Arabidopsis thaliana: one gene and its partners. The protein of the gene in region 1 interacts with the protein of each later gene in a pairwise test. Each region holds a gene or a part of one and is shown in the gene's direction. Other genes may lie near its edges. The genes, in order: PFD6, AT1G26660 and TRP1.

What was found.
Region 2: the proteins of PFD6 (region 1) and AT1G26660 interact in a two-hybrid assay, tested with the Arabidopsis thaliana proteins (one large-scale study listed by BioGRID).
Region 3: the proteins of PFD6 (region 1) and TRP1 interact in a two-hybrid assay, tested with the Arabidopsis thaliana proteins (one large-scale study listed by BioGRID).

What each region holds. Positions count from the first base shown.
Region 1 is NC_003070.9:10,503,495-10,511,305, forward strand, and holds PFD6 (prefoldin 6), read left to right. Parts: upstream 1-4,038; 5' UTR 4,039-4,171; coding exon 4,172-4,247; intron 4,248-4,341; coding exon 4,342-4,412; intron 4,413-4,531; coding exon 4,532-4,656; intron 4,657-4,893; coding exon 4,894-4,954; intron 4,955-5,270; coding exon 5,271-5,327; 3' UTR 5,328-5,657; downstream 5,658-7,811. Other genes in the region: AT1G29980 (choice-of-anchor C domain protein, putative (Protein of unknown function, DUF642)), read right to left, coding at 1-500, 592-1,116, 2,386-2,500; MNS3 (alpha-mannosidase 3), read right to left, coding at 6,038-6,287, 6,379-6,527, 6,616-6,813, 6,947-7,208, 7,314-7,811. UniProt on the Arabidopsis thaliana protein: Binds specifically to cytosolic chaperonin (c-CPN) and transfers target proteins to it. Binds to nascent polypeptide chain and promotes folding in an environment in which there are many competing pathways for nonnative proteins.
Region 2 is NC_003070.9:9,206,561-9,214,442, forward strand, and holds AT1G26660 (Prefoldin chaperone subunit family protein), read left to right. Parts: upstream 1-5,203; 5' UTR 5,204-5,325; intron 5,326-5,735; 5' UTR 5,736-5,737; coding exon 5,738-5,829; intron 5,830-5,944; coding exon 5,945-6,049; intron 6,050-6,280; coding exon 6,281-6,382; intron 6,383-6,659; coding exon 6,660-6,767; intron 6,768-6,921; coding exon 6,922-6,976; intron 6,977-7,133; coding exon 7,134-7,205; 3' UTR 7,206-7,315; downstream 7,316-7,882. Other genes in the region: FBR12 (Eukaryotic translation initiation factor 5A-1 (eIF-5A 1) protein), read left to right, coding at 1-14, 112-168, 257-331, 434-538; AT1G26640 (Amino acid kinase family protein), read right to left, coding at 1,060-1,155, 1,257-1,360, 1,457-1,519, 1,594-1,666, 1,761-1,838, 1,925-1,960, 2,049-2,105, 2,190-2,251 and 4 more; AT1G26650 (Son of sevenless protein), read left to right, coding at 3,775-4,782.
Region 3 is NC_003076.8:5,954,065-5,963,167, forward strand, and holds TRP1 (tryptophan biosynthesis 1), read left to right. Parts: upstream 1-3,015; 5' UTR 3,016-3,265; coding exon 3,266-3,483; intron 3,484-3,593; coding exon 3,594-3,705; intron 3,706-4,057; coding exon 4,058-4,201; intron 4,202-4,313; coding exon 4,314-4,475; intron 4,476-4,589; coding exon 4,590-4,862; intron 4,863-4,945; coding exon 4,946-5,036; intron 5,037-5,114; coding exon 5,115-5,174; intron 5,175-5,263; coding exon 5,264-5,382; intron 5,383-5,461; coding exon 5,462-5,617; 3' UTR 5,618-6,006; downstream 6,007-9,103. Other genes in the region: AT5G17980 (C2 calcium/lipid-binding plant phosphoribosyltransferase family protein), read left to right, coding at 1-2,681; VDD (VERDANDI), read right to left, coding at 6,007-6,243, 6,334-6,629, 6,733-7,021, 7,308-7,409; SAUR19 (SAUR-like auxin-responsive protein family), read right to left, coding at 8,969-9,103.

The sequences.
Region 1 (7,811 bases):
AACGTCATCGATCACAGGTCCACACAAGGAGCTCATATCATCAGTCCTCGTATTGTAATAAACACTGTAGAACGCAACTCTGGTTCGATCAGCCTTAGCCGTGAAATTCAAACCGGCCTTTTCGAAACTGGAGTTCGCTTGCGCCATGTAATGAAAGTTCTGCGCCTGATCACCTGCGAATGCCATAATAGCCAATGGTTCCTTGCATTTATCACCTGCGTGGCCTAGTGAGAAAGACAATATGTACGGCTTATCTGCTTTGGTCTCAACCATTTGTGAAATAATTCCTTCTTTGCCTGAGAGTAGCTCGACGGCTCGTTTGCCCTTTGGAACAGAGAAGTGATCCGAGTCAACAAACCGAACCGCTCTGTTCGATTCAACAGTCCAACCAGGAAGAGACGAGATTTCTTCGTCGAGGTTTGTCGGAAGTAAAACACCAAGAGACGTGTTCCTAAACATCCATGGACCATCTTCGAAATCTCCATTAATCACCGCATTATCTACAAAATGTAACCAAAAAAATCAGGGTGAAATAGGCACATTTTAGAACTTTGGAGTCGAAAATAGAAATATAGAGAAATTTATGGTTACCTTTGGGTTTATCAGGAGTAAAGAGCTTCTTAATAGCAATGTCATCGATGATTGGTCCACAAGTCGGATCATCTTCCATACCCGGATTCTTAAAAACCAACCGTACATGATCATCTTCCGCTTCAAACGCCCACGCATAAGGGTCCCACCCTTGAACGCTATAAAGCGTTTGCAAATCAACGTTCCGCGACGCCAGCATATCGTCCGCGTCTGCGTTCACAGACGCTACCGACACGTTTATCGATTCGAGTTGAGCGCACGTGCGAGCAGCGCTGAACGTGACTGAATAGACAAAACCTTTCTCAACCGTTAGATCTTGGCTGATCTCTGCGTCGTTCCCTAATCGGACGGCGTGACGGCCTTGTGGGACAATGAGGATCATTCCGCCTTGTTTTTGACCGGAATTTATTAGCTCCACCGTACCGTTGGATTTCCAGCTTGGGATATCGGATGGTCCGTCAGTTACTCCGTCGTCAGGAAAGCCACTTGACGGTGATGTTTCGAAGTCGCCGTTGATCACTAAACCTGTCATAACAAAAAATAAAGGTTACAGACAATTTTAAAATAATAATGTACATTGGATTATTTGGTTAGACAAAATCATTGGAAACGCCAAATGATCACGTTTCAAGATTGTTTTGAAACTAGCTAGCGGTGTGAAAAGAGATTGTTTTTGTCTTTCTCAAATAAATAGTTTGATTCGACATAACACTTTAATTTACTAGATTGTAAAAACGTGAACGAAAAAAAATAATAAGGAGACACGAGGCTTGAAACGTCTAATATGGGGCCAGACATACGGCCCATACCTTCTAGCTATGACTTAGTAGGACCACAATTGTGAAGACTCGTTTTGACTATTTACTAATTTTTATGTTTACACTCTACAGTTCCCAATTTACAAGTTAAAAATGCCCCTTCTAATAGGGGAAAGCAAGAGACAATTGTTGTGTTTTCGGTGGAAAAACAAAAGAAAGCGTGTTGAAAAACTAGAGAAGTATTCAGACACTTGGATGTCGTTTTATCAAGTATTCTTTGTCGTTTTGTAATACTACGACCAAAAGACCACCTACTATTTGGCGCGAATCCTACTCAAGTGGTTTTTTTTTTTGGTAAATTTTTTAATCAAATAATTTCTTAGAAAGTAAAGTACCTAAACAACTTTCTTTATGAAATCAGATCTTTAAATTAATATCCACATAAAAAAAAAAAAAAAGAGTTCTCAGGGTTTTGTTGGTGTGTGTTTGTTATTTGTTAATTGAAGCTAAGGAAGATTTAAGAAGGGCTTCCTTTTTAATTTTGCCGCCGCTGAAAGCACGAATAAGATACTTTATACTTAATTGACAAATAGACCCATACAACTTTCATTTTCTTTTCTATTGTGACGGATTAAATTCAGTTGACAGTTTTTCCCCTGACTATGAGATAACCTTAACTAGATTAGCATTACTGGTTCGATTAACACTGTTTACTTACTTAAACTAGACATTAACATAACAGATTTCTAATCTTTAGTAAAGAAGAAAACTCAACTTAAAAATCTTAGCAACAGTGAAGTGAAATTGAGGAAAACCCCCAAAAATCTAAACACTCAAAATCCAGATAAAAACTAAATCAATCATCTGAAACTAAATTATTTTGGTCCTCTGTTCTTGAAACAGAGATGGGTTGGATTCAAGAAACCAAATCTTGATAACACAAGATTCTTATTTAAATGGCATTTTTGAGAAAAACCAATCACGCAGAGACCAGAAAAGAACAAAGAAATTTGATGAAGGTAAGTGAAAAGCGTACCATCCTCAACCGCCGGAGACTTGTCGTCAGCGACGGCGACTAAGACGGCAACGGAGACACTGAGCAGAAACAAGAAAATGGAACTCCATTTGCATCTATTGTTGCTCGGAACCATATCTCTCCTCTACTTCTTCTTCGTCTTCCTCAAGATATCTAAATGCTCTCTTTATCTCTCTTCTCTCTCTCTGTAAGTGTGAAATGTGAAAGTGTCTTTCTGTATGTTCTTTTCGGGCAGCGAGCAAAGACAGGGAAGGTTAGTGTCCTTTTATCCAAGATTCCTCACTCCTTGTCTTTTTTTTTCTTCTTTTTTTTTAACTCTCAACATTTAATTTCCACTATATTTAAAGCTCTTTACAGACAAAACTCCATGCACGCATAACAAAAAAAAAGTAAAAGAAATGTTTCTACTGTAACATAGTATTTAATTGTTCTAATTAGTAGAGCCACGATGGAATAAGTTTTAGTATTGACCTAGGTTCTCTCTTTTTTTTTCCCTCTCATTGGATCTGTGCTAGATGCGAGACTAAAGTGGCAACTTTACTTTTGATCCAACTCTATTTCTTTTAGGCTGTGGAGTGAATTATTAGTTTGACAACAACAAAAATGTCTTTGTAAAATCTTCGGCTTTTCACTATTATAGATTTGAAAAAATGTTGTTTAATACGTGAACTTTCAAAATTGGCCATTTAATACGTGAACTTTATATATGGCAAATTAATACATACAAAAATCGTTGACTGACAATTTTACATAAACTTAATCGTTGATCAAGCCAAAATCTACACGACGTTATCTGACATTAACAGACCGATAACAGTCGTTAACTAATCTTCGTTAGTTTCTAATACGACGTTGTTTCGAGTATCGCGAAAACGGAAAATGCCATTTAATACTCCAATTTTCAAATTGTGGTCATTTTATATATCAACTTCACATGTGGCCATTTTATATATGAACTAAACGTTGACCAATAGTTTAAAATATGAGAATGCGTTGATTAGACCAAAAAGACATACCGCTATCTAGACCTAGATATTCAGATTTTTGTTTGGATTCGGTTTGGATTTATTCAAATACCTAGGCCTAGATAGCGGTATGTCTCTTTGGCCTGGTTAACACATTCTCATTTTTTAAACTGTTGGTCAACGTTTAGTTCATGTATAAAATGGCCATATGTGAAGTTGATGTATAAAATGACCATAATTTGAAAGTTGGAGTATTAAATGGCATTTTTCCCGTTTTTGCGATAATCGAAATGACGTCGTATTGGAAACTAACAGAGATTAGTTAACGGCTGTTATCGGTCTGTTAATGTCAGATAACGTCGTGTAGATTTTGGCCTGATCAACGATTAAGTTTGTGTAAAATGGCCAGTCAACGATTTTTGTATGTATTAATTTACCATATATAAAGTTCACGTATTAAATGACCATTTTTTTAAAGTTCACGTATTAAACGACATTTTTCCCGTTATAGATTGAGGTATAAAGGGACGAAAAGTAAAAATTTGTGTTTATGAGAGTTATGTTCAGTGTTGATATGATCAGTGAACTAGAAGATATTACGTCACCAAGTGATAAATAGTGTTTTTCTTTTGTATGTAACTAAAACTAGGCTTGATAATAGAAGAAAAGCATATTGGGCCGTTAAAAAGTCCAAGTTAATACGGTTTTGGGCCTTACTAAAACACGGGGGCTTTAACGGAGTTTTGTTACTGCTCCTTGGTGGATCTGCGAGTTTTCAATAAACCACCGGAGTGAGGAAGAAGCAGACGACGACGACGAAGATGAGTTCATCGACTGTTCGTGATTTGCAGAGAGACCTAGAAAACAAGGCTAATGATCTCGGCAAAATCCAGAAAGGCAAGTTTCGTAGATTCTCGTAACTTTTCTCGATTTGATTCTTTTCTTGTTTCTGGAGGCGGGAAACCCTACTTTTCTGTGTTCATATTTTCAGATATCGGGAAGAATCATCAGCTGAGAAAGAAGTATACGATCCAACTCGGTGAGAATGAGCTCGTGCTTAAGGTATATGTTCATGTCTCACTGTTTAATCTGAGTTTTGTGGCTACTTCAACTGAAAAGAGAAGTTTATTTCGATTGTTGATTGGCTTTAATCTTTTTATGTGTCTGTCTTGTATCTACAGGAGTTAGATTTGCTGGAAGAAGATGCTAACGTCTACAAATTGATTGGTCCGGTGTTAGTGAAGCAGGATTTGGCTGAAGCTAATGCAAATGTTCGTAAACGAATTGAGTACATCTCTGCTGAATTGTGAGTTTCTTTTCTTTTAATGTGATTGAAGCAAATGCAGTTCGTTGAGAAACCTATTTTGGGATTGTTATTGTAAATAAAGAACCTTTCTTTCTTTCTAGGCTAATAGTGAGTGATTGCTGTTCATAAGTAGCTAAAATGTTTTCACTTCTAGCTATGTAACAACTATGAGAGATGTTGATAAAGTGTTTGAGCTATAGTGTTGTGACCTCAAGAATATTGTTGTATCCTTTGCAGGAAACGGCTTGATGCAATTCTTCAAGATATGGAAGAAAAACAAAACAACAAGAGAGAAACGGTAAGACATCTGCCTCTCATGCATTTATATACTTCTTTGAGTGCATTGAATTAGTGATACTAGGACTGCTACACCAATAATAGTCCAAACATTGATGCTCAGTATACTAAGCTCTAAAAAGATACTTTGGTAGCTATTGTTGTCAGTTTAAGCCTGCCCGGAAAGTAAATACTTGAACTTTGTTATCTCCTCTGTCTCGTTGAGTGGCCTACTGGCCTTGGCGCAATATGAGGATTTGCTGTTTCTGCACTTTCTTGGCTTTTAAATGGTGATAATGATCCTATGGTTTCAATTTATGGAATCAAAATATTTGCAGATAATGAAGTTACAACAAAGGCTACAAACTATCCAGGCAGGAAAAGCAAAGGCTTGATTGAGCTACTCAGTTGCAACCACACTTGTTAAACCCTTTCCACTGTGCTCGGCCTTGTCTCAATGGTGTCATATTCAGTTACTGAGGGTTCTTGTGGTTTCAGTTTATTGGGTGATTGATGTCTCTTTGTGTCACTAATCTTTTTTTGTTGACAACTAGACTTAAGTGTGTAACTTATACATGATCTTGTCGCCCTTTATGAAGTTATGAGTTTGGAGATTTACAAAAAAATATTGTGTGTGTGCGCCTAATTTGGTCTTCATACATACTTCAAGTCGATTATGTTCTATGCAACACCTTGCAGATTACAAAGAGCTAAGATGACCAAATGATCTCAAATTTAAAGGTTTATTAGTCATATCAGAATGATCTTATCTTGCAGTGTAAATGGTATGTATAAAAAACTAAAACCATAATTCATCTCCATGTCAATTGTGTCTGATTACATTTTGCCAAGTGAGAGCTTAACGAAAAGAGAGAATATTAGTCTCAAGAAACCTACTACTACAAGCAAAAACTTTTACGAGTTAAGTTATAATTTGGATGCAGAAGCTTATCTTACATTGAAAGTTATGACTTTTTTTCCTCAACGAACTAACTTCTTCTCCAATTGGCAGTGTACTATACATCACTTTCTCCATACCCTCTCTTAAGTTTGTGTATGTGTGTGTGTGTGTGTATTGTCTGGAGTAGTCTTCAAAACTAAGCCTTCAGGTGTTTCTTCTTATTGGTAATGGATGAGCTTCAGTGTTGAAAACAAACTTATCCAATGGTATCACTGAGTCATCTCCAAAGAGCAAGTATAAGTACTTCAATGTTTCACCAAGGAAAAATGTCTCCATCTTATCTCTTCTATGAGGAGGCACTTCTGTTACATCATCCAATGATGTGTATCCACCTGATTTCACCTTTGTGTACTTTTCAAAAGCTTCAAAAATTTGCCAACCTTGATCTCGGTATCTGCAATTTTAGAAATGTGTTAGCTTTAAGAGTAGAATAGTCCCCAAGAACTTAGATTAGTGAGGGAAAATCGGATGAATAGTTTTCATACTTTGTATCTTTTGTGATACGATAGAGGACAAAGAGTGATTCAACAGTTTCAGGGCGCAGTAGATTATGTCGATCAGCGGGCTTAATGATTATGTCATTTGCATACATAGAACTCTTATTCCCACCATCAAGACCATCCTCAGTGTAATCCTGCTTTATTAAAATCCAAGACTTAACAAAAAACAAGAAGAGCAAGGATGACAATAACGTTTTGGAAAAAAGTACACACAAAACTTACCTTTGTGTGAAAGTAAGCAATTTCTGGAGCAAGGCCAGTGGCAGTTACTTCATACATCTCAAAGCATGTTTTCGCTAAATCTTCTGCAAGTTTCAGATTTTCTAGGTCCTCAAAGGACAAAAGATTTTCCTTCAGGGCTTGTTCCTTTGTGAGGCCCTTGGTAGCACCGAGAGCAAGAGTACCAGGCAAGAAGCATACCTAGCAAGAAAAAGCAATTGAATGAATCACAAGTCAAGAACAACAAAACTCGTGAAATCTCTCAGCGAATGACAATAGCGTAATACTATGAAATGATTGCTATTTTCAGTACCAAGTAGCTAGTGACACTTACCAAATGATCCATTTTTGGACTGAATTCTCCCTTAGACCCGTAAGGTAACTCCCCTACAAAGACCAGACCTTTTGGAATTGAATTTTGCACAAGCAAATGCCTGACTCCTTTCATTGCCTCAATGTACATATCATGCAAATATGTGAAATTACTATTCAACTTAGCTCCTTGCTGAAGCCACACCTTAATTAAATACTCATAGTAGCTATCACCACGAGATCCCAACCTGATATTCTCACCAACAAAGTCACCTGTTTGAGGGCTGCACCAGGTAGAAACAACAAGTCAGATCAAAAGAGCCCGGGAAAGCAAGGGAAAGCAAATTACTAGCATGGTATTTATAGTTGAAAGAGCAAACACGAATTACCTGATATAGATTGGAACAAGACCTTCTGTCTTTGGAAGTGTTTTTATATGAGCTAAGACCTTCATGGCCTCTGTACTATACTTTGGATCACCAGAAATAGAACTGAGGTAGTTAAATTCAAGCTGTACAGAGGCAACTTCTGCTGTACTGCTCGCTCCTCCTGGAGCTGGATGAGCAGTCGATTCATGCAATATGACATCACAAAAGGGAACTGGAGTAGGGCTGGAGGTAAAAGCCGAAAGTAGACGGTCAGCCAAATCCTTAGCAATATTTAGATAGATGACTGGTTTCGGTCCAACATGGGTCATGTTCACCGTACCCTGCTCTCCTCCACTCAAATGGTATGCACTTAGAAGCCCACCTAAGACACGTATTGTAGTTTCAAACAAATTAACTTGACCTTTTTGACTGATTCTCTCCAAGAGATGAGTCTCAACCCATGATCCTGCTTCAGAGACGATATTATCAAGACCCATTATCATGGCTGTATCAAGAGCA
Region 2 (7,882 bases), 1.3 Mb from region 1:
CCCACAATTGTGATGTAAGTTACTACACAAACTATGTAGATTCATTTTCACAGTATTTGATATGATTGTGTGATCTGACTCAAATATTGTTCCTTTCTCTTTTTTTCTCAGGTTCCACATGTGAACCGTGTTGATTACCAGTTGATTGATATCACTGAGGATGGCTTCGTATGTTTTTCTTTATACTCACTTTCCTCATCACTCCAGCTTTATTTATCTATTCTTGCCATAACTTTTGTACTTGTTTACATTATAGGTGAGCCTTCTCACTGACAGTGGTGGCACCAAGGATGATCTCAAGCTTCCCACCGATGATGGTCTCACCGCCCAGGTTATTTTCTTGTCTTTTCATACTCGCACACAAATGACTTGACTTTGTATTCATCTCTCGAATTGTGATATTGAAAACAGTTGTTGTGTTTTGTTAATGCAGATGAGGCTTGGATTCGATGAGGGAAAGGATATTGTGGTGTCTGTCATGTCTTCCATGGGAGAGGAGCAGATCTGTGCCGTCAAGGAAGTTGGTGGTGGCAAGTAAACAAGTATCATTCGATATATTATTACCAGTTTGACAACGGACGTCAATGTTATAAGAACCAAAAGATGTTTTTCTTTTTCCTAATTTAGACCCTTTGTGTGTGTTTCTTGTTGCAAGACAACCATATCTATTGGTTTTGGATTGTTGGAAAAGTTTGTGTTGAAACATTCAAAGTTTCTTATGAGATGTTATTCTTAAAACCACTTTTTGTTTGTTCACTGGATATGTTTGTTCATGAAGCTTGTTTTAAGCAACTCTTTACATGATATTCATTGCTATTTGCACGATTCAAGAGTGACATATACATTTTATTTAACAATAACAGTGTAAGATATGTGATTGAATACTTGTGGAAACATAGAGTTACACAGGCTGCGATAGTATTCGACATTTTAACTGGTTTTGACATTACACGATTTTGTATTCCTTGCACAAAGTCTGGTAAAACAGTAATAGCAAGAAAAGGTCAATGCTTTCCTTTGTTGAGGAACTGGAATTAGTGTATTTGTCAGGAGATTATTCTACTTTGAGAATCTGATGATAGTACCAAGCCAATCTTCAGGAACACTATCTCTCAAATCACCGTTTAGTGCTCTCTGTGAATGAGTTGTCGCAGCCTGTTTGAGGAGATTGAAAAAAAGAGCATGATGGCGGTTAAAAGCTCCATCTTTATCTAAGATATTTAGTTGGTTAAAGGCAAAAGTTGTCTATAATCTACCTTCACAATGTAGACATCGACTCCAAGTTTTGCAATCATAGCAGCTTCTGATATCTTCGTTTCCATTCCACCGGTTGTATCGTGCGCCGCAACAGAGTAGTCAACTGTTTGATTCCAAAAATCAGAGAGGTTTGAACTTTTAACAAATCCCTCAGACTTATTGTATTGCATAGTTTTACAACATTGGTTCTTTCGTTTACCTTTCTTGTCTGTGTGCTCCAACAGTGGATTCACAACCTTCCAGCTTCCATCTTCTCCAACAGCTGCATGAACTGTTAGTATCAGGCCAAGTCTGGAAAAGATATAAAAAAAACAAACAGTAAAGTTTGAAACTAACCGATCTCTTTCAAGAGCACAGCGTCGGGCTCTGAAGGTGAAGGTGGTCGATCGTAGACACCTAGTACATCTGTCTTTGTAAAGAGTTACTCAGATAACAAAGAATATATAGGAAAGAGGGAGAGAGAACACAAATTAAATTTCCGGTTTATACTATGAATAGGATACGAGAAAGACAACATATTCTGGCTTCAAATGATCTGCAAGATGACGGATGATAACATCACCACTCAATATGGTGCAGCCCTGTTCAGGACAAGATTTTCAACTGTTCAAATTCTAAACGGACAAGAATCTAGATAGCTATTTGGTATCTCTGGAGAGCATATTACCAGTATATTGTCCAGCACTGCATCTCCATGGAGAACCTGGCCATGACAAAAATTACTGTCCAAATTACAGTCAAGAGACTTTGGTAAACATCTACCTAATTTCACTGGTGGGATCAAAACTTACAGGGACAAATCCTGAGTCTATGGTTTTAGCTACGGTTGCTAGATCTGCAGAAGCCACCTAATGCAAAAAGCAGTCTCATTGAAATCTAAACCCACATGCTTCAGATCAGGAAATATGTTAAGAAGTTCAGTTAGCTCTTACATCTCTTTTGGAGGTTGACCAACCACATGAAAATGGAGACATGCCTATCGTAGGAATGCCCTCTGCAAGAGATCATAATGTTTAGCTTCAAAATTCATCTTTTCCTCTTAGCCAGAGTAGGAAAAGAGAATAAGCTTAAGAGATACCTCGGGCTAGTGCTCGTACAATTTCAAGATTAAGATTTGTCACCTGCAAAAAGAAGTTGTAGACTATCAGAACAGCTCAAGACTATCTTACGTAAGAGCATCAGATTTAGCTAACAGTCTCACAGATATACGAGTAGCAACGAAACCAGCTTTGACAATAGGTTTCTCAAGTCCTCCTTTGTGAACCCCAGATCTACTGGCCTGAAAGTGCCCAAAGGAACCTAATGACAAAAATCAGAACAACACATAAGAAACCCAAAAACTAAATAACAGCTCAACTAACACAAGCAGGTCAATGATCTGTAAGAGCTAAATCAAAAATGTATTTTGATCCTTCATTATAAGATTTAAGCAGATAAGAATCAATCTCCAACTAACCAGCGCCATGAACCACAACAAATTTACTAAACTCAGAAGACTTTTGATCCCCTATGTCATCCACATCACAAGAAATCTCAGAGCTTCCAGGTCTCTTGCTCCAATCCATGCCAATAACCTTGCTTGGAGCTGAACCCTCCAACATAGCTTGACGTAACTGACACGCCACGACCTCCAGATTTTCATCGTGAATCTTCTCCAGCTCGTTTTTGCAAGTAATTGCCGCACCTCCTATCAAATCATTTAGACATTCTGCTGTTACAAAGTCTAGACAGGTAAAATTGATGGGAAATGAATAAAAGACAGATCTTTAAAGTCTTTCCTCATCTTCGGTATTCAATAGTCAAATCAGAATCAAACCCATAAGACAGAACAACTAAAATGCGATCTAAGAATCGATCCAGCAAGTATTTTAATAGGGATCAAAAGACAAACCAAGTTTCACAATGCAACGAATTGATCTGCTTCGACTCTCGGAAATATTCAGCTCCATTGTTGCGTCTCTCTCTAAAGCTCTCGTCTTTAGTGGTCAACGGTATGTCTCTCTCTCCCGCTCTAACTCAACTTCATCGTACTCGTATCCTTCTTCTTGCCATTTCCCATTCACCGGAAAGATTCTCTCTTTTTTTTTTTTTTTTTTTCCATAGAAATATTCTTCTTTTTATTCCTCTAAAGAAGCCCATTAAGCTATTATTGGGCCTAACCAAATTGATCAATTTTTTCAAACCGGGTTTATGGTTTAGTGTTTTAAGGTTTCAGTTAAATTAGCGGTTTAGCTTCAAGTTCGCGATGGAGTAGAAGAAGATTACCTCCGACAAAAGCACGTTCACTTGTGCCACCGACAAAATTGGAAATCTTACATTTTTTGTTTTCTCTAATCAAAATTATTGTTGGAACGTAGACAAGATCCGTTCCAAGATTCGTCTTTTTTTTTCAATTTGATTCCTGGGTTATCTGAAAGATCTTCTCTTTGCTTCGATTTCTATCTCCGCTGCTTGTGAAATCAACCTTTATGGTATGTAATCTCGAACTCAGCTAAAACACACTTCACTCTCGGAAACATGGAGACGGAAACGAATCAGGTTTTACGGAAACCGGAGCTAAAATCATACAGTCACAAACAATTTCACTCCTCAAATGCGTTAGAGATCTTAAGAGAAACAGTTCGAATTCTCCGGTACAATCTTGGTGCTTTAATGTTAACTACTGCTGTTTTGATCTGTCCTGTCTCTGCTTTGCTCTTACCAAACTTTTTAGTTGATCAATCATTAGTGAATAAACTCACAGTGAAGCTTCTTTTAGTGGCGAAATCAAGTGGTCTTCCTTTGCAGCCTTTTGTCAAACATTCTTGTCAGAAATTCGCTGAAACTGCTGTTTCGTCTGCAATGTGTTTCCCTGTGTTTATCACTGTGTCTCTGTTGTCTAAAGCAGCTGTGGTTTACTCAGTGGATTGTTCTTACTCGAGGGAAGTAGTTGATATAAGCAAGTTCTTGGTTATATTGCAGAAGATATGGAGGAGAGTTGTGTTCACTTACGTTTGGATTTGCATTCTGATTGTTGGTTGCTTCACTTTCTTTTGCGTTCTTCTTGTAGCAATCTGCAGTTCCTTCTCTGTTCTCGGCTTCTCTCCAGATTTCAATGTTTATGGAGCTATGCTAGTTGGTTTAGCCTTCTCTGTAGTTTTCGCTAACGCGATTATAATCTGCAACACTGCGATTGTGATCTCGGTTTTGGAAGATGTTTCAGGGTTAGGAGCATTGATGAGAGCTAGTGATTTGATCAAAGGGCAGATTCAGGTTGGTTTGTTGATGTTCCTTGGATCAACTTTAGGATTGGCGTTTGTGGAAGGATTGTTTGATCACAGAGTGAAGAAAGTTAGTTATGGAGATGGCTCTTCGAGGTTATGGGAAGGACCTCTTTTGGTGTTGATGTATTCCTTTGTGACACTTATAGATTCGATGATGAGTGCAGTGTTCTATTTTAGCTGCCGAGTTTATTATAGTATGGAAGCTTCTAGAGGTGAAACTCAGCCAATCATGGAAACGGTTACGGTTGTGGATGCTGAGTAATGGTGCGTTGTGCGGATCAAACTCGGTGAATGGACATGGAAACGTATTAGCTGAAGAAGAAGTTGTATATCATCAAATGGGGTTTTATTGAGCACTTTTTGTTTCACTTTGAAACTTGATGCATCTTTAAGGTTTTTGTTATATATGGTTTCTCTGTTTACATTGTTTGAAGATTATATAGCATCCCAAGTTCGTTCATAGTTCTGCTCTTGTTTCTTTTTAGCCAGTTTGATTGAGTCTTGAAAATCTTGGGCGTAAAATAGTAAAATTAAAAAGTAGGTGGGCCTTTATGCAAGGTAATTATATTACAAAGGACTTGAAATTAAAACCAAAAGTAAGAACAAACCGGTTCGCATGGTTTAAATAATCTGTGCTCGAGCGGTCAAATTGTAAAACCACCAAATAATTCTTCGTCTCCCTCACCGTCGCGGCGTCGCCACTCGCCGTCACAACCACCGTCGTTCAACATCACTGTCACCAAAAGAATCACCGTCGTTCGGTCGTGACGTGTCTGGACCTATTTCATCTCTTTGCTCGTGACTCGTGAGTCAAATACTCTTGGACCTTTGCTGTTATCTGTACCTCTAATTTTGTGATTTTCAGATTCCTTCTCGTTTATCGAGTTGGATTCTCTGTATTTGAATGTATTTTTGATAGGGTTTCGTTTGGAAACCAATTTGATTCTCATATTTAAAGTGTAGTTACGTGGTTTGTGTTCTCTCTTGGGGATGTTCACCACCTGTTCGATGAAATGCTTCTACGTATTAGTTTGATGCAATTTCTGTATAGTTTCGACGCTCTCCGAGCTTGTATTTAGATATTGATGGTTAGGTGACTCTAGATTCTGAAACGAACATTTCAAGGCTCTAGAAACTTATTCTGGACTAAGTTTATCAAATAAACAAGGGGATGGTTAGAGCCTTAAGCTTGATATGTTTATGTTCGCATTGCAGTAATGGAGGAGGGACGTCAAAAAGACTTGCAATTGTTGGAGGAGATTATCGACAAAGGTTTGAAACAGAAGCTTGTACATGCAACTGCTTCACGGTATTTATATTTACTTCCTTTTCAGATCAAAATTAAAATTGTGAGTATGATATTAAAGTGTATGTAGGATTAGTTTAGTTTGTTTTCTTTGCATGCTATTCACTTTTTGTTTGAGGTTTCGATTCATTGTGGTCTCTGCATTTGTTGGTTTTGCAGGGACAAGATCTTTGAAGAACAAAAAACACTGTATCCTTTTGTATAGGGAAGACTCTAGCTTCTCGTGATGTGCATCATCTTGTTAAGCTGATCCTAAGTGTTTTGTTAGTTTCTCCCATGTCTTAACCCTATCAAAGATGACGGGTTCATTTACCAGTCAGTTTTTGACTTAGTTTTGTGTTTCTAAATCGAGAGGAACTCTTCTTGGTGTAGTTATTGACAATACTTTGCTGTTCTAGTGAAATCTAATTCGGTTGAAATATTCTTGTTTCCTTGACGGTTACTCCCACTCCAGCTCTGACTTGCGGAAAAACCTAGAAACTCTGGAGAAGAATGGTGTAAATAGTCTCAAAACAAGGGTCAACCTTGGTTCAGAAGTTTACATGCAAGCTGAAGTGTACGTTACTTATAGCTTTGGTTCTTTCGTTTAATTTTAGTCAAGTCATTTAGCTATGAAAGGTCATGCATTGTCTGCATACAATGAAATACACTGTCTCCATACACAGCTTAATGCAATTAAGAAGTGTGCTTTTACTGTGTTCTGTATGTTAGAAGCTAGTTATGTATTATTGAGCAGAAAACGTTTAATAAATGGGGATTAAAATAGGAGATGCTTTCTACCAGGTTTGCTTCTGATTTCGTTTCACTTGACTTGGGTGTTTGTTTGAGTTCAGGCCAGATACTCGGCACATATTCATGGATGTAGGCCTCGGCTTTTATGTGGAGTTCACACGGCAAGAAGCTCTTGACTATATAGCACAAAGGGAGGAAAGAACTCAAAAGTAAGAGAAATCTTTGCTTTTCTAGTTTTCTTGCTCCATGTACAAGGAAAATATGGTTGTATCATTGTATATGATGAATGAGTTCTCCGGTGGAATGCAGTATAGTGACTGAATGTTGATGCAATATAAATGTGGTTTTTTTTGTTTTTAACAGACAACTAGAAGAGTATACTGGTGTTATTACGCAGATCAAAGGGCGCATCAAACTGGTAAGTTCAAGTTCTTATCTTGCTTTGTGATAGTAGTCAATCATTTGTCTTATGAGGTTGAATTGGACTAGAAAATCACTATTGCGTAGGAACCCTGCATCAGACGGATATATGAAAGTGTCATCGGATAAGTATTAATGTTAAATTACCATTGCAGGCTCATTACCAGATTCAGCAAATACTCAATCTTCCTGAAGAGAATCCGTCATCCCGGCAACGTGCGTTTTAGTACACTACCTAGTGGAAAGTTGAGGATTTTCTCTTGCAGTCTTATCTTCTCGATTTGTTCTGCTTACTGTTTTGAGTTTTTAAAGCAGAGAATTAACTTAGTTTGTTCAATACTAACTCTTTCTCCGGAATGGACCAAACTGTTGGTGTTAGATAAACATATCGATTAAGCAATCAAAACTTTATAGAATGACTATTGTTGTGGGGGTGAATAGTGAATCGCACTCTGTTAAATCTGCCATTTCTATTTTAAATATTAATAATCACATGTTAGAACTTAGAAGATCATTAACAGTTTAACACAGCTGATGAAGAATGAAATAAAAGTATGAACGAAACAGATACAAGATAATGATATTCCACGTCAGCAAAGTGTCCAAATATCTTCCGCTTCCCTGTCTTCGTCGGTCCCTTTTCGGTTTTCACGGTAAGGCTCGGAGGAAAACCTAATTCGTCCGGAGAATCTCCACCTCACTCTCGCCAAACGCATCTCTGTTGTAGGTAAGTCACGGATCTTCATTCTACGCTAATTGTTATTGTTATCGTTATTCTTGATCTGGGCGTTTTTGTGGAATTTGCATCTAAAATTAGAAATTTGGATACCAAAATCCACTCCAATTGAATAAGGTTTCTGAAGAATTTTCGTTTGATTTTGAGATCGAAAATTGCGTTTTCTCG
Region 3 (9,103 bases), on another chromosome or scaffold:
CGGAGGAGACGAAGGCGGAAGGTCCAGACGAGTCTAAGCCACCACCAGAGACTAATGACATTCCTGCTGAAGTGAAAGAAACCGTGAAACCACCACAACCACCACCGGAGGAGAGTTCACCAGCCGAGGGTCCCAAGCCAGACGAGGAAGCCTCACCACCTTTACAAGAAAACGCTACGGTTGGTGGAGAAGAACCACCGGCGTCGGAATCAGATAAGAATGAAGCAGAGGCGAAACCCGTGGAGGAGCCACCGCAGAATCAACCAGATGGTGAAGATATTGTGCTTGAGTCAGAAGATACAATGAGTTGGGCTTCGGCGCCGCGATCACCGTTACCGGAAGTTATCATTTCAAGATCTGTATCCGGTTCCATACCCGAAACCAAAAACGGACCACAACCACTACGGAGAAGCGTATCGGAAACTGCAAGCTACACATCAGAGATCTCCGACGTATCAACGATCGAACGATCCACGTTTGATTTGGTGGAGAAGATGCATTACGTCTTCATCCGCGTCGTGAAAGCTCGGTCTTTACCAACCTCCGGGAGTCCAGTCACAAAGATCTCACTCTCCGGCACAATGATTCAATCAAAACCGGCTAGAAAAACCTCTTGCTTCGAGTGGGATCAAACGTTCGCCTTCCTCCGTGACTCACCGGATTTATCTTCCTCTCCAATTCTGGAGATATCCGTGTGGGATTCATCGACGGGAATCGAAACCAGCCAATTCCTTGGTGGAATTTGCTTCGACGTGTCAGAGATTCCGCTCCGAGACCCGCCGGATAGTCCATTAGCGCCGCAATGGTACCGTCTCGAAGGTGGTGGAGCTCACAACAGTGATCTAATGCTTGCCACGTGGACAGGAACTCAAGCAGACGAATCATTCCCCGACGCGTGGAAAACTGATACAGCCGGAAACGTGACCGCACGAGCGAAGGTTTACATGTCGTCGAAGCTGTGGTATCTACGCGCTACCGTGATAGAAGCACAAGACTTGTTACCGCCTCAGTTAACGGCGTTTAAGGAAGCGTCATTTCAGTTAAAAGCTCAGTTAGGTTCCCAAGTTCAGAAAACCAAATCCGCCGTTACTCGTAACGGAGCTCCGTCATGGAACGAAGATCTACTCTTCGTAGCCGCCGAACCTTTCTCCGATCAGCTTGTTTTCACGTTGGAGTATCGAACATCGAAAGGACCAGTCACCGTCGGAATGGCTCGCGTGCCACTCAGCGCAATCGAGAGACGCGTCGACGATCGCTTGGTTGCTTCGAGATGGTTAGGATTGGAAGATCCAAACGACGAGAAGAGAGGAAACAGATCTAGAGTTCACATTAGGCTTTGCTTCGACGGAGGTTATCACGTGATGGACGAGGCGGCGCACGTGTGCAGTGATTACCGACCTACGGCGAGGCAGTTATGGAAACCAGCGGTGGGAATCGTCGAGCTCGGTATAATCGGTTGCAAAAATCTATTACCGATGAAGACGGTTAACGGAAAAGGATCAACGGACGCGTACACGGTGGCGAAATACGGTTCTAAATGGGTCCGTACCCGAACCGTGTCGGATTCTTTAGATCCGAAATGGAACGAACAGTACACGTGGAAAGTATACGATCCGTGTACGGTTTTGACTATAGGAGTCTTCGATAGCTGGGGAGTATACGAAGTCGACGGTGGAAAAGAAGCCACGCGTCAAGATCTAAGAATTGGAAAAGTACGTATACGTATATCGACGCTGGAGACTGGTAAAGCGTATAGAAATACGTATCCGTTACTGATGTTAGTTAACGGCGGCGTTAAAAAATTGGGAGAGATAGAATTGGCCGTTAGATTCGTGAGAACAGCTCCACCGTTGGATTTCTTACACGTGTATACTCAACCGTTATTGCCTTTGATGCATCACATTAAACCGTTGAGTTTGTTTCAAGAAGATATGTTGAGGAACACTGCAGTGAAGATCTTGGCCGCACATTTGTCACGATCTGAGCCGCCTTTAAGGCCGGAGATAGTACGGTATATGCTCGACGCCGATACTCATACTTTCAGTATGCGTAAAGTCAGAGCAAATTGGCTTCGGATAGTGAATGTAGTCGCCGGAATGGTCGACGTGGTGCGGTGGGTTGATGACACCCGTTTCTGGAAGAATCCGACATCAACTTTACTAGTTCACGCACTTGTCGTGATGCTGATTTGGTTCCCGGATCTTATCGTACCGACATTAGCGTTTTACTTGTTCGTGATTGGTGCGTGGAATTATAGGTTCAGGTCACGTGCTGCTCTACCACATTTCGATCCAAGACTCTCGTTAGCTGATGCAGCTGATAGAGACGAGCTCGACGAGGAGTTTGACGTCGTACCGAGCAACCGACCACCGGAGATGGTTCGGTTGAGGTACGATAAGCTACGAAACGTCGGAGCTAGAGTTCAAACGATTCTTGGTGAAGTGGCTGCGCAAGGGGAGAAGATGCAAGCTTTGGTGACGTGGCGTGACCCACGAGCGACTGGTATATTCGTGGGGCTGTGTTTCTTTGTGGCGTTGGTGTTGTATCTTGTGCCGACGAAGATGGTGGCTATGGCGTCAGGGTTTTATTACTTCCGGCATCCTATTTTCCGTGATCGGAAACCTTCTCCGGTGTTAAATTTCTTCCGGCGACTACCATCATTATCTGATCGGCTCATGTAATATTGTTTTTTTTTTTGGAGGGGATGTATATATAGTTTGGGTCGTTTAACCTTGTTGGGCCTTATTGGGTTATAATGGGCCACTAAATGGATTTTTATATGATTTCCTATTATAGGTGCTGTGTTTGACCATGTCTAAAACAAAGAAGTGTTTGGTATGACAAAATTGATGAACCTACTTTTTGAGCAGAGTGGTAAATGTGCGGAAATAAGCACACAAGGAAATCGTTGTTGGTGACTAACAAAAGGAGTTATCCACTGCCCAAGCATTACCAACTACCACCAACCAAACTCAATTTGGAAATTTCAAAGGTCCATTAGTCAAAGCAGCATTAAGTCATTCAGTAATCAACAAATATATTCATATGAAACCCAAAATAAAATAAAATAAACACTTTTCAAGAAAAAAATAAAATACTGAGTACTAAACTGGAAACCCTTTATAAGCAAAAAGACCAAAAGTTAAAAGTTAATTAAGATTTGGTTTAAGGCGCTTTGCTTTATTAGAGAGGAAGGAACGAACCATCATAGAAATCTCTCCTTCGTTCAAGTTTTTCTCTACTGTGTTGGTTGAGCAATCGAGTGATGGTTATTGCGGTGGCGACGACGAGCTCCATTGTTTCCGGAATCAAGCTTTCAGGGATCTTAACTTCGTTCAACGCCGTAGATGATGCGTCCAGTAGTTGCGGAAGAAGCAACTTGACCGGAGTTAGAATTTTTCCGACATTGAGTCGGCGACGATTCTCATCGATCGGAGCTGTTTCCCCAATTCGTGGGGATGCTCAATCTTCCTTTAGTCGCAGGTAAAGCCTCGATTTTTGGGTTTAGGTGTCTGCTTATTAGAGTAAAAACACATCCTTTGAAATTGTTTGTGGTCATTTGATTGTGCTCTTGATCCATTGAATTGCTGCAGCTCTTTCGCTTGCTCTCAGAATCTCGGTTTGAGCGGTGGATTTAGTGCAGCTGAAGCTCTGCCACCTGCTTGTGCAAATGCTAGCCCTTCTTCCATTAAATCTTTCAACCAGGTGACTCTTCATTTCTATTTTCAGGATAAGTTTGTGGTTTGATGATCCCTTGTTTCTAAGTCTCTTGATTTGTGAACAATTCAGGGTTTTTATATATCTGTATCTGTATTTCTGAGTTGGGTTGAGTTATTGGCTTCATGCTGACTAAACATGTTTGGCCCTGTGTGTTCTTCGAATTTCATTTTAATTGCTTGATGGGTTTTATTGACTTGAGTAAAAGTGTACTACTTTATAGGTTTTAAAAGAGTTTTACTTTTGGTGATTTTCCAATGGCTTTGAAGAGAGAGATTTAAATCATGGGGTTACTATGTTCTCATACTGCGTTTGCTCTGTTCTGTTGTTTTTCTTTCAGTTGATTGAAACCTTGATTGATCGGGTTGATCTATCTGAAACTGAGGCTGAATCATCTCTTGAGTTTTTGCTGAATGAGGCAAACGAGGCGCTGATCAGTGCCTTTCTAGTTCTTCTGAGAGCTAAAGGAGAGACATACGAAGAGGTAAGTATCCATTAAGTCAATCTAGGCTTATAATAAAAAAGTATACATAATCCTATATTACTGCACTTCAATAAGTTAACTCAACGTTCACTTTAATTCGGATATTGGGTAGATTGTGGGGTTAGCTAGGGCAATGATGAAGCATGCCAGGAAAGTGGAAGGATTAGTTGATGCTGTGGACATAGTTGGAACAGGTGGTGATGGAGCAAACACAGTCAATATATCAACTGGATCTTCAATACTTGCTGCAGCTTGTGGTGCAAAAGTAGCAAAGGTATAACGAATGAGAAAATCCTTAAAAGAAACGATATATTTAAATTTTGACTATCTGCATTAATGCTAAATGATCTTCGTCTGGTCGTCTAACTAATGGATACTTATTTTGCAGCAAGGGAATCGTTCAAGTTCTTCTGCTTGTGGAAGTGCTGATGTACTAGAGGCACTAGGAGTGGTTCTGGACTTGGGACCAGAGGGCATTAAAAGATGTGTTGAAGAAGGGGGGATCGGTTTTATGATGTCACCAATGTATCATCCAGCTATGAAGATCGTTGGTCCTGTTCGGAAAAAGCTTAAAATTAAAACTGTTTTTAACATATTGGGACCTATGCTTAATCCTGCTAGAGTTTCTTATGCTGTCGTTGGTGTATACCACAAAGATCTGGTACATTTACTTATTGCTGAAATTAGTTTGTTCATCAACAAAAACAAGACATTTACTTACCATTTGCTTGTGTGGTTTCATAGGTTGTTAAGATGGCAAAGGCACTGCAACGATTTGGAATGAAAAGAGCACTGGTGGTTCATTCATGTGGTCTAGACGAAATGAGTCCGTTAGGTAAGATTATCTCTTCCCAAAATTGATTACTTTTATTATTGAACAATTATTAACCAATCATGGCTTAACGAAAAACAGGAGGAGGACTAGTTTATGATGTAACTCCGGAAAAGATCGAAGAATTCTCATTCGACCCATGTAATGTTTCCTCTAGCTTTTTATCCCTTCTCTAAAATGAATATTGCAGATGCAGCTTAATGAAATTGAAGCTTATTTCTTTTTGACAGTGGACTTTGGTATTCCTCGTTGTACTCTTGAGGATTTGCGAGGTGGAGGTCCAGACTACAATGCGGATGTGCTAAGACGTGTGCTTTCAGGGGAAAGTGGAGCAATTGCGGATTCATTGGTATGTTTTGATTTGCCGATTCAACATTCTCTGAACTTCTGCAATTTGTTCATCCTTTTTTTTCAAAATCTTGTTTCAGATCCTAAACGCAGCTGCAGCTCTTCTGGTTAGCAACCGAGTTCAAACGCTAGCTGAAGGAGTAACCGTGGCACGTGAAGTACAATCGTCTGGGAAAGCTATCAAGACGCTTGATTCTTGGATAAACATCTCAAACTTAGCTCAGAAATCTCAGTGACCAGAAGAGGCTTATGATATTGTTGTATTCAACGGATCACCTTTGCAAGCAATTGTAGATGAAGATGGAGGCAATGTGCCAAAGGAAGAAGCTGGAGTTATTTGTAACTTAAGTTTTCTTTGTCAAACAATAAAGAGAAGAGACCGGAGCGAGCTCTATACACATTCATCATGTAAACACTACAACAATAATCTTTAATAAAATGAATAAATCTGTTTTACTCAAACGGAGTTCAGATTCATCATTGGGATACAAATCAAACCTAAGTAGTAAGTAGAAAAACAAAATTATAAAATTAGTCCTAACATTGAATCACAGACCATAATCTTGTTCCGAAGTTCTTCACTAATTCTGCAACTACACCTAAAATATCATCATCGTCATGGTGTCTATTCTTTGGAGACTTTCACACGCATCTCTGTCGGTTTGATGAGCTTGAACGTACAAACATCTCCGACCAGTAAACCTAACTCCTTGGCCAAACGACTCCATCCACCAGAGAATCTTGATTGTACATCAGTGACCACATATGTAACATCCCATGACTTCTTTCCTCTCGGATAATGAATCTTGAACATCGTTGTCTCAGTTGGCATATGCATATCCACAAATTTCTTTGGGATCCCCTGAATCACAGATTTTCATTAGATTAATACACACTTTTATACATAGCCATTTCGACAGTGTGTCACTGGTCTTGTCTTGCTTAATCTTACCAAGAACAGAAGGTGTGATTTCTTTATGGTGAGCTTGAATTCTGGAATAAGAGATGAAGTACCGGCTTCAGAGTCGTTACTAACAGTTTCCACCTTCTTCTTCTTACTCGTCTTGGATTTTTCGGTTTTATCGGCTTCCTTCTTTCTCAAGTTAAGCTCCTGTTTCTGCGTCAATCTCCCACTTGTAGATTCAGCTGTTTTGTGACAAGGATGGCTCGATTCAGACCAAGACTCTATCTCTTCTTCCTTCTTCACATCTTTGTAGATGCTCTTCCTCTCTTCTCTCTTGTTCCGACCTGTTTGCATCAAAATCAACCACAGAAGTAACTAATGACTGTATTCTTCTTCTTCTTCTTCTTAAGCATAAAGAAAGCAATAACATAGATGATGAACACTTACCGGAACTAGAAGTAATGGTTTTTCTTGGTCTAAGCATCTCCGTACCATCTGCCTCGAATATGGTTACATTAAAGCACATATTTGCCTCATGAGTGAAAGTAAGATACTCGTTTTCACCCAAACCGTTGTCATTCACAAACTGGTTCCATCCACGATCTTCCATGTAGTGAAAATTTGGGTTCTTGGAGATTTTAACTTGCCATGACCTTCCCCATGGTACTCTTAAGACCATCTTAAACGATGAAGACTTGTCGGAGATGCTTCTTATCAAGTGATGAGGAATCATTCTCTTCAGAGAGGCAACAAAATCAAGAAATATGGAACATCAGGAAATGGTAAAATGAAGTCACATTCCTCAATTTCAGTGATAAGTACAGTAAATAAAAGTTTACTGATCGATGTACAGTCAAAATCCATTTGGTCCGATCCGATCATTTCACACATCAAAACTTAGTTAAGACCAAGAACAGACAGATCTAAGTTCAGGACACTACAAGAGACACACTGAAGAACCAATAGATTCGATCTTTAATTTAAGAAAAAAGGCTAATAAGAAAATAAGTGATAAGGCTTACCATCATTTCAGTCGAATGATCTTCCCTTCGAAGAATCTTGAAGAATGCTGGATTATCTCTTTCTTCCATAATCTGACCAAAAAAAGCTTTGTTTTTCACCATCTCTGCTTCTCTCCTTCGATATGATCTTTCTTCAAAACCTCTCAGTCTTAACTCTTTAATCCTCTTCACTCTATCTCCTCAGTCACTCACTCGCATCTTCTCTTTTCAACTTTTCTATCTCACTCACTCGCTACTTCTCTTTCTCTCTCTCTGGTTGTGGGCAAAGAATGGGTAAAAAGAGAGGTCTCTTAAAACTTTAATTTCTAAAAACAGCCAAAGTGTTTTATTTTTCTGCATTAACTTTGAAATTAATTTTACTTGTGGTTAGTTGGAAAAGATTCCCATGAATCATTAAACTTTTGTGATTCGTAATTTGATATCGTAATGATACACAGAAACAGCAATATGCTCGTGACTTCCCAGACACGTAAAAAGCAGAGCAAATTCCTATTTTTAGTAACTGAATTCTAAAAAGACAGCGTCATATTTCCATATTTTTTTTTTTGGTTGCATAAACTATTAATTAACTTATACTGTACTAAAATACATTCACGGCAAATTTTGGTTAATCACCCATTTGAAAACCTCATTCCTAATATTTACTAGCTAGTCTGTAGAATGTAGACTTGTGTCCAGCACATACCCCTATTAACTTTATACAAGCTACATGTTTGAAAACTTAGCTAAAAAAATAAAAATACTACAGACTATACATGTTTTTTTTTGGGATCAAACTATAGAATATACATTAGTACTCTAAAATACCAAAAGAAACATGCATATATGTATATTCAGCGTAACAGATACGTATCAATAAATCATTGAAGAAAGGGATCGGATCCAGTCCACATCAACCCTAACTAGTGCGTGTCTCTATAGTTTTCCTTTTTGGGCAATGTATACTTGTCTTTATTATTTGGAAGGAGAAAGCAATGTTATTTATAGAATAAAATACAAACAGAAGTTTGGAATTCAAAAGTAAATTTCTTTTCCTTTTTGCTTGACAATATCTTGAAAACTATAATCAAATGTCACTGGAGACATCAACTAAATGTAACCCCCACACTATACGTAAGAGCCAGCCACTGATAAATTGTGTAAGTTAAAAGTGGTCATTTGTTATTTGTTTCCGTCTAATTCAGAGTAGCAAACAAATACTAAAACCGGATCTGAAATTCTCGGTTAGAGTAACAAGAATCCCGAACCGGGGGTAGTGCATCAAAAGGCAAAAATTGGAAATAAGCAGGTAAAACAAAAAGATATCCGGAATAAAGTTCGGGGGATTGAACCCGACGTGAATCGAACACGCAACCTTCTGATCTGGAGTCAGACGCGCTACCATTGCGCCACGGATCCGGATGTTAGATGTTCCACTTAATTGTTTTTAATCAACATGAAACTATAATTAGAGTAGTTTTTTGATTGATGAATTTGGTGTCGTCTTTCTTTTTCAATGAGCGATCAAAAATGTATTGACATGAAGTTTGTATATAACATTAATTTTGTATTTCACTTTCTACACTTTTAGAACAACTCTTTCAAGAAGAAAGAGAAAAAAGCTCATGTATTTACAATGAATAAGTCTATTTCTAACTGAAGGAAAAAATGTTGGATCATCTTCATTGGAGCCGAGAAGTCACATTGATGAAAGTATCTTCGGGACAAGGGATCGTTAAGCCACCCATCGGATGAGCAAACCCAAACTCTTCTTCGGATTTACTGAGCAGAGCTTGAAATGACGGTTGGCTCAAGTA